Regions from separate parts of the Mus musculus genome. Here regions 1, 2 and 4 are each reported to be linked to region 3. The links are microRNA targets in miRTarBase. Many come from high-throughput screens and were not tested one by one. Region 3 holds a microRNA gene; each other region holds the end of a gene's coding sequence.

Region 1 (3,119 bases), not on the chromosome of region 3:
TCTCCTTCCTCCACCTGGACTCTGCAAAGCAAACTCAGCCTGTCAGGCTTGGCAGCAAGTACCTGTAACTGCTAGGCTAGCTCTCTGGTCCCCAGGACACTTTTTTGAATTTGGAGACAAGTTCTCATCATGCAGTACTTGCTATGTACACTAAGCTACTATTGAATGCAGAGATCTTCCCACCCCTGCAGGGACTGGAAGCATGCATCACTCCGCCTGACTGTAGAACTCATGTTTAGTTTATGTGCTTTGCTATGTATATCTTGTGGGCTATATGCATGCAGTACCCCGAGGCAAGAAGTGGGCACTGAACCTCCTAGGACTGGAGGAACAAATGGTTGTGAGCCTGTGTGTGGGTGCTGGGAATTGAACTTAGATCCTCTGGAAGAGTACCCAGTGCTCTTAACTGCTCTCCAGTCCCTAGAACTCTTTTTTTTTTTTTTTTTTTTTTTTCTTGTTTTTTTGAGACAGGGTTTCTCTGAGTAGCCCTGGCTGTCCTCGAACTCAGAAATCTGCCTGCCTCTGCCACCCAAGTGCTGGGATTAAAGGTGTGCGCCACCACCGCCTGACTCCTAGAACTCTTTAATTTTTCCCCCAAGACAGCTTCTCTGTATTCCCTTCTTGTATAGCCCAGGCTGTCTTGAAACTTACTCTGTAGACCAGGTTGGCCTTGGAAGATAAATTCAAGAGCACTAGCTAGGTGGTACAGGCCTGCAATCTCAGCATTTGGGATCATCATGAGTTAACAGCAAGCTGCACCTCCATACCAAGTTTAAGGTCACCCTGGCCTACGTGAAACTGTCTCATAACAATATAAAGCAGCCTTGGTAGAACTTTAATCCCAGCACTTGAGAGGCAGAGGCAGGTGATCTCTGTGAGTTCAAGGCCTACTGGTCTCCACAGAGTTCCAGGACAGCCATGGCTACACAAGAGAAACTCTACCTTGAAAAACCGAAAATAAAGAAATGAATAAATCCACCAGCTTTTGCCTCCTGGGATTAAAGGTGTATACTATATGCCTGGCCCCAGAACAAATTTTTTGTTATTTTGAGACAGGGCCTATGAACCCTATGAATCTTGGAATTCACTATACAGGCCTTGAAATCGGAGATCTTTGCCTCTGCTGCCACACTCTCGGATCTTTCCCTCCTGGGAAGTCTCCTGTGGGGTTTGTTGTACAGTGTGTCTCTGTGGTATTCCTTGGCTCTAGACTTCCAGGAGACCTTTCTCTTCAGAGCTGTAAGACCTTGGGACAAACTTCCACCACTGGAGTGGAGTACAACACTTCTCTTGGAGTACAACACTTCCCCTTTCGCCTTAGAGCTGTCACACAACTGTGGCTCCCAAGGCAGCTGGTAGCTACGGATGGCCAAAGACTGAGCGGTAATGGAGAACTGGAGGGCAAAAGGGCTGCAGGCAGAACTGGGGCTTATAGGCACAGAACCAAGGCAAGTCCTACTTATTTATTTCAGTCTTCATTTAAAAGAATGCTTCTTTTTGAGATTGGAGAAATGGCTCAGTGGTGAAGAGTACTAACTGCTGTTGCAAAGGCCCAGGAACCCACACAGTTGCTCACAGCCTCATGTGACTCCAGTTCCAGATCCAATGCCCTCCCTTGACCTCTGTAGGCTCTAGGAATGTACTTGATACACACACACACACACACACACACACACACACACACACACACACATTCAGGCAAAACATTCACACAAAAATGTCTATAATTTAAAAAAGAATTATTTTACGTATGTATGTATATATACACATTCATATGTGAGGGCATGGGCATCGCATCGGGTAAGAGGGCAATACTGAATGTGGGCTCTGATTCATTTGAAGCAGGGTCTTGTCACTGCCTGGCATGCTAGTTGGAGCGCCTGGGGTTCCTCTTTGTGCCTTCATCTTAAGAGCACAGGACTGCAGGACTAAATTAGCCTGGCCCTGTGCCTGTGGCACTTTCGCCTATGGTACCATCTCCCCAGTGCAAGTCATGGACTGCCTCCGTGTGGATGTGTGTGTCCCGTGTATGTAATTCAGTGTGTGTACATCTGCACATGAGGGCCAGAGGTGGATGCTAGGCATCATCTTTGATTGCTTTCCACGTACACATTGAGGTGGAGGCTCTAACTTGAAGCTCACTGACTTGGCTTGTTTAGGGTGTGTGGGTGATGGGAATGCAAAACCCATACACCTGGCAAGGCAAGTACTTTGCCCATAAGTTAGACCCAGTTCCTAAAAGTCTTTCTTTCTTCTCTGTGGCCCCGGAGCCACTGCTGACAGCAAGGAGTCCAGGGAGCCAGTGGTGGCTTGTCATTGCTTTAATTTATTACTGTCTGACTCCAGTGACACTGACATACCCGCTGGGCCTGTGAGCCTCCTGGAGAGCTGGCCCTGTCCAGTAAGATACAGTACAAGGAGCGGCCGGCACGCGCATGCATCCACTGAGCTACAGTGACTGGGGCCTGGGGAGGTGGATGGTGCTCCCAGGAGGTCCCCTCTCTAGACAGTTAATGCTGGTAGAGACTCGAGGCCAGGCCAGGGCCGACAGACAGGCCTATACTTCTCTGCCTAAAAATGTGGAAGATTGCATGTGTACAGTTCTCCAAGTTCGAAACTACATCTGGTGCTACCCATCACTGCTAAGGGCTACTCCATCTTGGCTGGGACGAGCGCCTCGGGGTCAGGACTCAGGAATGTCTGGTTCAGTCTTCCTCACTGCCACTTCCTGAGCGGTCCTGAAAGAACAGGGGGAATAGTTTGTGAGTAGGCTGCGGCCTAGGCACTCTCCCTTGTCCATGGTGTTCTCAATGCTGTGGAAGGGCCTAGATCCTTAAGGGATAAATTATCTTACTGTGGCAAAAAAAAAAAAACTGCATCAAGGAGGCTGGCAAGACGACTCAGCAGTTAAGAGCACTGATTACTCTTCCAAAGGTCCTGGGTTCAAATCCCAGCAACCACATAGTGGCTCACAACCATCCTTAACGAGATCTGACTCCCTCTTCTGGAGTGTCTGAAGACAGCTACAGTATACTTACATATAATAAATAAATAAATGAATCTTTGAAAAAAAAAAAAAGAAAACTGCATCAAAACTTGGACCTTGCCCTGCACCATGG
Region 2 (3,119 bases), not on the chromosome of region 3:
TGCAGGTAGGTGTGTGTGTGAATATTTTTAAATATTCACAACTTTTCTATCTGATAGTTTTCAGGTTGCTTTGACACCTAAACAGAAGTCCTGGAAACCTACTTCAGAAACACATGATTCTAGGTACTGATAAACTAGCACAGGTCACAGCGCTATTGACACCAGTGAGAAGTGCACATTAATAACAGACTGGTCACTAACCTTAAGAGTAGGCTCTGAAAGTAGGAAGAGTGCCAGGGACCACATCTGCTCCTCTGCCTGCCTTCTGCTAGCTCTCCTGCATGAGTCAAATGTGCCTGAAATTTAGCCTAGAATCATTAAGCTCCAAAATGTTTAAATTGTAACATTTGTTAGCAATATATGTATAACAATGTCAAGTATTACAAAGTATTGTAAGGGAAAAATCCCTGAAAATACCATTTTCAAAGTCCTATTTACCCAAATAAGCAATAATATGCTTGAATATCACTTGCTACCTTGAGTAAAACATAGGAAATAAATACATGGCAGTTTAGAACCTTGACAAGCCTTCAAGGACAGGAAAGCATATTTCAGAAATTTGTTTTAATAGAGTCAAACATTTAATCTCTTCCACAGTAATCAAACATCATAGTAAGTTTGATATGACTCTTGCCACATCAGAGCAGGCAGGATTAACAAGCACAGTGCTTGGCTGATCTCTGCACACTGACTCTCTGACAGCAATGCTGATGGTTTTCAGTGAGTTGTGTGTGTTTTTTCGTTTTGTTCTTTTCTTTTTGGAGTGCAGTATTGGCAGTATTACTTTGGAAAAAATAAGATAGTAAAAAATAACGTAACTTTTATATATAGATTCTTCAAGGGCAATAACATGATAATATAATTATGGAAAAATATGCCTCAAGCATACTTTTTATAATTACTCAAGGTTTATTGTTTCCTAAATTAAAATATTAGACTGTTCTGGGAAAGTACACACTGAGGTTTGAGCTTTCTCCTCTATCAGCAGAGCACAGTCATGGTGTTTATGCTGAGGTGAGGTCAGTCCACCCAACGGTCTGATCTCTGACCATTCGTACTCACTCGAGGTTGGAATCAAGAGACTTACTTACCAGGTATTTTATACACAAATTTTATACCCCAGGCAGGTTCCCTGATTAGTTCCCACGCTAGTATAGAAAATCTGAAGAAACCACAAAGGACATAAACAGACATGTCATATAGAAGGGTAAAAAGGATACAGCATGGCCCTGAAGGGTTTTTCCATCTTAGAACAATACTTTTCATAAATAAAACTCTACTTTTTACATATATATTCAGCCTACAGCTGGTTTGGGATCATGGAAAACATCAATGACAATAGTCCTAAACTCTCCACTATTTTCTTTTGGTAGTCTTTAATTGCCTCCAGACCCCAAGGACTCTTCTCTAACTGATGTTCAATCTGTGATGCTCCGGAATAAACTTTACTGAGGTTTAGGATAAATCACACAGCTACGTGCACTGTCAATAATCTTCAAAAATGACCGAAACAAACTCTAAATACAAAGTATATAAAAAAGCATGTTAAGGATAGTTTTCCAAATCGTATCTAGAAATACAATATGTGCTGCCTCATCACAAAGCTGAGTAAATATTCTTTCAGAATCCTAGAAATGATGTAAGATGTCTTAGGTTTATTTGGTTCTCATAAGTTAAAAAATCTGATTGCTTTTACATAAATTCCTTTAGACTCCTACCTACATTTAGAATTTTATTAATATCTTTTCATTAGAGTCAAGAGATTAACTCTCCTTCAGAAATGTGCTTTTTATTGGTTTAAATAACTATGTTTAATTTTCTAGCAATAAACATGATTTAAAATTTAAGGTTCAAGGTAATTCTAGAAAAAGGTAGACAGTGAACGCTGCTCTTCTCTGTCCTCATATGTACAAGGCTGAGCCTGAGTGTGGACTTCTCCTCACGCATGTACCACATGCTCATCAACCAGAAGCCACCGCTCAGGTTCTGAAAGGGTTGAAGTTTTTCAACATCTCACAGCACTACAAAGTCAGTATCTCATCTGGATAGGTTATAAGTATTAGTGTCAATGTATTTTTTTTTTTTTTTTTGCTATTTGAAAATAAAAAATATTTTTTCTATCTAAATTGGATCCAAGCTCCATTATCAGTTCTCAAGGTAGTAGCTAAAATGTACATTACTAAAGAAAGGTAAAGCTGTCCAAGGGCTGAACCAGTTCAATATACAATGAAGGGTCAGCATTCCTGCTCTCTCCCCCTCCCCTATATTAAAGTCCTCGTTCCTCATGGATTAGGATATAATTTAACAATGTAAAGTTTCAGAAATAGTTGTGCTAACAATTACATCTTGAGAAGGATCAAACTTATTCAGTGACCTCCATCCATTGTCACACAGAACACAATAGCTTACTAACTGATTGGAGTTGCAATGTCACTAGACACAAAATAGGAGTGATATTCTCATTTGGCTACAGTGACAACACACACCAGTTCCGACCTGTAACATAAAACTCCAGCTCATAGAGAGTGTATGGTGTAACTTGAAAAAGCTGATTGTAACAAAGTAACAACCTTCCCCTGGAAAACATGAGCAAAATCCATTGGGAGATCAGGCACAGACGGTAGGGACTGGGTCTTCCTTTCCGTCATCTGCATAGGTGGTTCCCACAGACGTCAGCATTCCCTACAAAATCACACAGCTATTTTTTTCCTTTTCTTTCTCTTTGTCTTTTTCCCGAGGTTCCTTGCGTTTCCGTTCACTATTCCCAGGCTGTTTTATACTTGATGGAGAGGCTTGTGCTGGCTGGCCCTGCTGTATGAGAAACACAAATGGGAAGGGGTGACTGTTCCTGGGCACTGAATCAGAGCTAGCTAGCTAGAGCCACAGAGACAAAGGCATCCTTACAGAAACAGACGCTTTGTGGGCACAAGGGCACGGCTTCTGCTCACAGGTGTTAGGATTAGGATAAGAGATGACCATGGTCCACAGCTGGCCTGTTGCTGTGGGAGGTTTGGGCATCTTAGAGAAGAGGCCTACCTGGTTCACCTTCCTGCCTTGGGTCTGCTGCTGCTTTCTGATGGGAAGGACGGAAATTCTGTGCTACTACCTCCTACTTCCAC
Region 3 (3,119 bases):
GCCTTTCTGCCACTCTCTGTTGTTCTTTTAGGTCTTGCATCCGGAGGAACAGCGAGATGACGTTCCCCATGGTGGCCACGACTTCTTCTGGAGAGTTCTTGGGCTGACCTTCCTCTTCACCACCTTCCTCTTCCTCCTCTTCCTCGTCATCTCCCAGGTCAGTATCATCTTGGTCTGACTGGGTCTCGGATGAGTTGATTGTTTCATCCATGCTATAATCGGATGCCTCACTGAGTGGTTCCGACCCTTCCTGGTTTGAAATATCACTTGACTGGTTTGAACTGTCGCTTGACTCCTGGTTCGAATTATCGCTTAACTCCTGGTTTGAATTATCACTTAACTCCGGGTTTGAATCATAGCTTGACTCCTTTTGTGAACCATCGCTGGACTCCTGGTTTGAACCACCGCTTGACTCCAGGTTGGAAACATCGCTCGACTCTGGGTTTGAACCAAAGCTCGACTCATGGTTTGAACCATTACTTAATTCGTGGTTTGAACCATCACTCGACTCCTGGTTCGAACCATCATCACTTGATTCCTCCATGTCTTGGGGTAGATCGTTAGATGATGCCTCACAGGGGTCGCTGGATGGCTCCTCCACTTCCCGGAGTAGATCAGTGGGTAGCTCTTGCATTTCCTGGTAGGGGCCACTGGATGGCTCCTCCACTTCCCGGAGTAGATCAGTGGGTAGCTCTTGCATTTCCTGGTAGGGGCCACTGGATGGCTCCTCCACTTCCCGGAGTAGATCAGTGGGTAGCTCTTGCATTTCCTGGTAGGGGCCACTGGATGGCTCCTCCACTTCCCGGAGTAGATCAGTGGGTAGCTCTTGCATTTCCTGGTAGGGGCCACTGGATGGCTCCTCCACTTCCCGGAGTAGATCAGTGGGTAGCTCTTGCATTTCCTGGTGGGGGCCACTGGATGGCTCCTCCACTTCTTGGAGTAGATCAGTGGGCAGCTCTTGCATTTCCTGGTGGGGGCCACTGGATGGCTCCTCCACTTCTTGGAGTAGATTAGTGGGCAGCTCTTGCATTTCCTTGAGGGGGCCACTGGGTGGCTCCTTTTCTTCCTGGGCTGGGCCACTATCTGAGCCCGCCTGGGCCTCAACCTGGGCCTCAACCTGGGCTTCAGCCTGAGCCTCCGCCTGGGCCTCCACCTGGGTCTCCGCCTGGGCCTCCGCCTGGGCCCCTGCCTGGGCCCCCGCCTGGGCTCCACTGCTGCCTGGTGTCTCTTCAACGGTGTTGGATGAGCCCTCGGAGGACTCCATTTGTTTTGATGATGGATTCTTAAGCTCCATCATCGTCTCAAATGAGTCTTCAGAGGGTTCTATCATGTCGTCGGTTGGAAAGGAGTGTGCTCTGAAGACTGGTAAGATTGTGATGTGTGTGGTCAGAGACCGCAACTGTGGAGACCAAAACCTAGGGACAGAGGGATAAAAGACAGGAGAAAATGTAGCAATTTAGGTTCTCAAGATGGCAGGGTCAGATTCTATCTCAAGGACAAAGCAGATGCCAAGTTACTAGAATCAGAGAGAAAATGGAGAAATTCCTCCTGCATTCAGTTCAGCCTCCTTTTCTGGTTACTTGGGGCACCTCCAGGGGAAAGACCGTCACCCCCTGACCTGCCTTCCAGGCGGAGTCTGACTACCCCACCTGCCTACTTCCTCTAGTGGAATGAGAAATTCACAGCCCATAAATTTTGTGGAGCAACTGGCCTGGAGCGTCCTCTGTGGCGAGCTAGCACCTGGCAGGGCACACTTCTGGCCCGCTTTGCCCTGGCCAGGTTCCCTTCCCATTTGTAGTCACCCAAAAGTCATAAAGGTCACATCTCAATGCCACTCAAAGCGGCTGCTGGCAGGCTTGGTGGTCTAGAGCCAGCCCAGTGAGCTTGGTTGGAGGCGGGAATCTGCAGGGAGATGCCTGCTATTTCACAAACTGGGGAAAGAGGAGAAATTGGGCACTTGGCCACTATCCTGCCAGTTGGGTCAACAGCCAAAAATAGCTCTTATTTCCTCCTCTAGGCTCCAAGCCGAAATAAGTGAGAGAGAGCCATGGCTTTTGGTTTTAATTTTGCTCCCCATAAATGTTTATAAAATGCCTACTATGTGCTGAAAACATGCACTTTCATGGCTTCATCCTAGGTCACACTTTGTGCATATGCAGGATAAGAGGGGGGTGGGGGAGGGATAGTATCATTTCTCTTGTTCGGTTTGATCTCTGTCCAAAGCCACGTTTTCTCCAGCTCTGAGCTGAGTCGGAGCTTTCTAAACACCCTTTCCCGGGCTTTCAAAAAAACTGTTCTCCCAGGATTGCCTGGTCTGCAGGGCTCCTGCAGCTTTAAACATCTGGCCTCAATTCTGCTCATGCAAACATTTCTGCACGTCTCACAAATGCTATCTTTCCAAGTTTCTCCTCTGCTTCGGCAGGAGCAGGGTTTTCGTTCTCAAAAGTGCCCCCCCCCCCTTTTCTGTCACTGTTGATTTCGTCTGGTACAGGGGTATATCTAACAGAGGTATGAAGTTGGGTGAAAGGGGGGGCATGGGACCTTTGAAATCTGATTGTTCCGTAATTTTTGAAAATCTAGCCATGGAGGGTTTAGTGCACGGAAATTGAATTTAAAGGGATGTATTGGTTTGCAAAACAAATTAAGCTAGTTATTCAATAGCTCAGCCATATAGCTATTGTCTTTATGAATTCTGCACCTTCTGTTACTTCTCAATTTTCTTTTTTAAGGTCACTGGGCTGACCTATCCAAAAACAGAAACACACACACATACACACACAAAACCAAATAAACAGAAATCTCCCATGTTGTCATTCATGTAAAACTCCCGTTGGCCATCCTCCAAACCTTGCAGCAGGATGCTTTTGGGTCTGCAGTTTCTCAGAATTAGACATCTCCTTGTTAGCATGACACTTAAATTCGATCATGCAACCCCTCTGATTAAAGCCTCTCACTGTTTATTTACTGTCGGCAATATTAAATCCAAACCTTTTATATAAACATGTCTGACATGTAAACTTACCAAAAAAAAAAAAAAAAAAAAAAAAAAACTCCTGGCTGAAATTGAAAGGCCTTAGCATAATGTCCACGTTGGGCTTCTCATTCCTAGAACTGGAGAT
Region 4 (3,119 bases), not on the chromosome of region 3:
GCTGGACATCCAGTTTGGGCCTGTCGCTGAGCATCCTTTTCCTCAACCTCCTCTCCAATTTTGTCCTTGCAGTTCTTTTAGACAGAAACAATTCTGGGTCAGAGTTTTGACTGTGGGATGGCAACCCCATCCCTTCACTTGATGCCCTGTCTTCCTATTGGAGGTAACAGAATCCACATTTAACATTTACTTTTGGGCTGGAGAGATGGCTCAGTGGTTAAGAGCACTGACTGGTCTTCCAGAGGTCCTGAGTTCAAATCCCATGGTGGCTCACGTCCATCTGTAATGGAATGTGATGCCCTCTTCTGGTGGGTCTGAAGAGTGCAATAGTGTACTCATACGCATAAAATACATAAATAAATAAATCTTAAAAACAAAAAAACCTTACTTTGGCTCACTGTGTTTTGCAGAGCCTGCACAGGTTTACGCACATCACTTCCGGAAAGTGCTTAGATCGATCGGAGGTCCTGCATCAAGTGTTCATCTCCACCTGTGACTCCAGTAAAATGACTCAGAAGTGGGAGATGAATAACATCCACAGTGTTTGACAAGAACAGAGGAAACCAACAATCTACCTACTGACAAGTACATTTATGGAGGACTGAAAACCGCCTGGAACCTGCTGCAACCATTATTACTAATTTTGTACAGCTCCAAACCTGGAACCTCTCTGATCAGTTGGAAGGGGCATTGATAAACTGTGATTTTACAATAACATTATCATCTGCAGTGACTGTTTACAAAACTGCTCTTACCTTAAACTCTAGATGTTTACATCGTTTTTTGTTTTGTTTTATGATGATGTTGGTAATTTGTGCCTTTAACTCGGTTTCCTGAACCGCCGAGTTAAAGCATGTGTTGTCTTCTTTGGGAATACACTCAGGGGTCTGGAAGGCAGTTTGGTTTTTTTTGTTGTTGATGATGTTGTTCTTGTTTTTTAACACACTTGAAAAAAAAAAAAGGTTGGAGTAAGCAGACTTTCACATCCGACTTGGTGATGATCAACCTGCTGTGTATTTAATTTTACATCTTTCGGAAGCACTGCCACGGGTCGTTGGCCAGGGTGGCCTTCCTTCAGTTACGCTGCTGTTTGAAAGGTGAATTTCAACACATTTAGTGCCTCTTTCATTTCTCAGTATATTGTTTGAGAGCTTCTAGTGACACTTCTATGATGGTGACAATGAATGTCACCTGGGGAACCCGTCTGTTACTCACAGGAGAATTTCTTGGCTATGAAGTGGAATGTTGTATGGCTGGGTCGAGGACAACAGTGGGCCCAACTCAAGGCTGTTCCGTGGGGCTTGAAGATTCTGTGGCATTACCTCCCTGGCCTCTGTTCACACCAGCTTCTAGGCTAGCAAAGGAGTCCTTCTTCTAAAAGGAGGGGTTGGTTTTTGCCCATCTACATTTTGCATCTGCTTTCCCCAGTACCAGTCATAGAAAACTAAACATAATTCTCAGTTTGAAACTTGAAGGGGGGTTGAGGGGCAGGGAAACAACACAATAAAGCCCTAGTGTGGACGCCTTAGGTTGGTCCTGAGGTAAAAATCCCCAAGCCCTTGTGAGATGGAAGCCTTAGAGAACCACCTCGAAGCACAAGCTGTGCACAGAGATAAACTGACACTTTGTCTACATTCAAAGGAAATTCCATGAGCATTCTTTTTAATTTAGGAAAATTAGTATCTAATTTTCTATTCTTAGATCTTATTATCTAAGAATACAAATCATCAACAAATGTGGACGACATTCTGCGAAGTTAGATGCTAGCTCTGTAGGGTTCCTTAATTTCTTTTTTAAGAAGTATAAATTTTTTTTATATTCCCCAGGGAAAAGAAGATTTAATTTGAACATTTATTAATACAATACCTACTTTAAGAGAACCAAATGTTGAAAACTTTAATTTCTAGGAAGTCTCTTATTACACCCCCCTTCCCCCAAGATAAAATGTCTACATTGAGTGCCAAAAAAAGAAAAAGAAAAGCAATGTGGTGAGCTGGGGCCAGTTAAACATTTTTGATCATGTAATCATGGTATCGATGACAGAAATTCACAAACTACTGCCAGAAGGAAATATTTTTAAATACAGCTTAGGGAAAAGAAGAAAAAAAAAGCCTGAATTTTTTTTTGGAAGAAAAGCATACAATTATTTTTCTTCCAACCTTAGTTCATCAAATTTGGGCAGTAAAAATTCAACATCCTGAACAGTTTTATTTATAATCTTGAATTGTCAATTTGTATTTTGCTACTGACCTGTGATCAACTATTTAAACTTTCATCTCTAGGGATATTTAAAGAAGAAATGCATTTATATGCTTATATAATTGCAAATAAATCCACTGTAGAGAGGAAACTCGGAGAATTGGTAATTATTTGTGTGTTAGAAATGGACACCATTTTTCATGTTAAATAGATTTTAACCTCGTATCTATGCATAGGCTAAGGTGGCACATGAACTGTGCATGTCATGTTATGGGTAAAGTAAATTGTTTTTACAATTCGTTAGGATACTATATGAACATGATTCTATATATTGAAATCAGAAACCTTTCCACACATGAAAGTATCAGAAGCTGCCACCATAATGACTATTTTGTACTTCAGGCTGCTTTGGAAATAATCCCCATCGCCTTGCTTTGTAAGTTGATAATATCACTATGCATTTCTACACATTTTATAAATTTGATTTATGCAGATTTTGATACACTGTATGTTTCTGTAGAAATTGTACAAATATTCAAAATTTTATTAGGGTAAACTCAAGAAGCTTATGTATAACTTAATTCTGGGTTGCTTGTTTTTTAGGTGAGGAAAAATAAAATATTGTATTTTAATCCATAGCTTTTCAGTGCTTGTAATTATTTCTATATATAATTGCACACTTACTCGGGTTTTTAAGAAGAGCAAGAGCCAAAAATAAATATCCAGATTACCCACAAGGAAAAAAATTAGCCAGGCTTTTCATTTACAGGGTTTATTTAGGGTTGATAGCTGAAATAATGCAAACTATAGTTATTAGAGTGTGTGCCTGAGTGTTGTTTAGAATTCTACTGTATGTATTTGTGTCCACCTGTAGAATGGAAACAGATTTTCTTTTTTTTTAATGATTTATTTTATGTATA

The links. The annotated mature microRNA mmu-miR-136-5p reads ACUCCAUUUGUUUUGAUGAUGG and lies in region 3 at 1,258-1,279, shown strand. An mRNA with a match to its seed (bases 2 to 7 or 8) in the 3' UTR can be bound and repressed. Matches are read on the target gene's strand: a 7mer-m8 pairs with bases 2 to 8, a 7mer-A1 pairs with bases 2 to 7 and ends in A, and an 8mer does both.
Region 1: miRTarBase lists Smarca4 as a target of mmu-miR-136-5p. The part of its 3' UTR that is shown has no 7-base or 8-base seed match.
Region 2: miRTarBase lists Mindy2 as a target of mmu-miR-136-5p. Seed matches in the 3' UTR shown: 7mer-m8 at 2,138-2,144.
Region 4: miRTarBase lists Galnt7 as a target of mmu-miR-136-5p. The part of its 3' UTR that is shown has no 7-base or 8-base seed match.

The regions. Positions count from the first base shown.
Region 1 is chr9:21,702,555-21,705,673 of GRCm38, reverse strand. Smarca4 (SWI/SNF related, matrix associated, actin dependent regulator of chromatin, subfamily a, member 4) reads right to left here. Exons shown (of 34, transcript NM_001174078.1): 34 at 1,444-2,738. The coding sequence ends at 2,706. Among named protein-coding and RNA genes, the nearest start is that of Gm26511, 19 kb to the left of the region's middle.
Region 2 is chr9:70,602,479-70,605,597 of GRCm38, forward strand. Mindy2 (MINDY lysine 48 deubiquitinase 2) reads right to left here. Exons shown (of 9, transcript NM_172772.2): 9 at 1-2,811. The coding sequence ends at 2,683. Among named protein-coding and RNA genes, the nearest start is that of Mindy2, 53 kb to the right of the region's middle.
Region 3 is chr12:109,594,074-109,597,192 of GRCm38, forward strand. Mir136 (microRNA 136) reads left to right here and starts at 1,254; the gene lies at 1,254-1,315. Rtl1 (retrotransposon Gaglike 1) reads right to left here. Exons shown (of 2, transcript NM_184109.2): 2 at 1-1,415. The coding sequence starts at 1,330. Mir434 (microRNA 434) reads left to right here and starts at 433; the gene lies at 433-526. It overlaps Mir432 (microRNA 432), which reads left to right and starts at 883; the gene lies at 883-957. It also overlaps Mir3071.
Region 4 is chr8:57,523,543-57,526,661 of GRCm38, reverse strand. Galnt7 (polypeptide N-acetylgalactosaminyltransferase 7) reads left to right here. Exons shown (of 12, transcript NM_144731.4): 12 at 411-2,837. The coding sequence ends at 548. Among named protein-coding and RNA genes, the nearest start is that of Hmgb2, 13 kb to the right of the region's middle.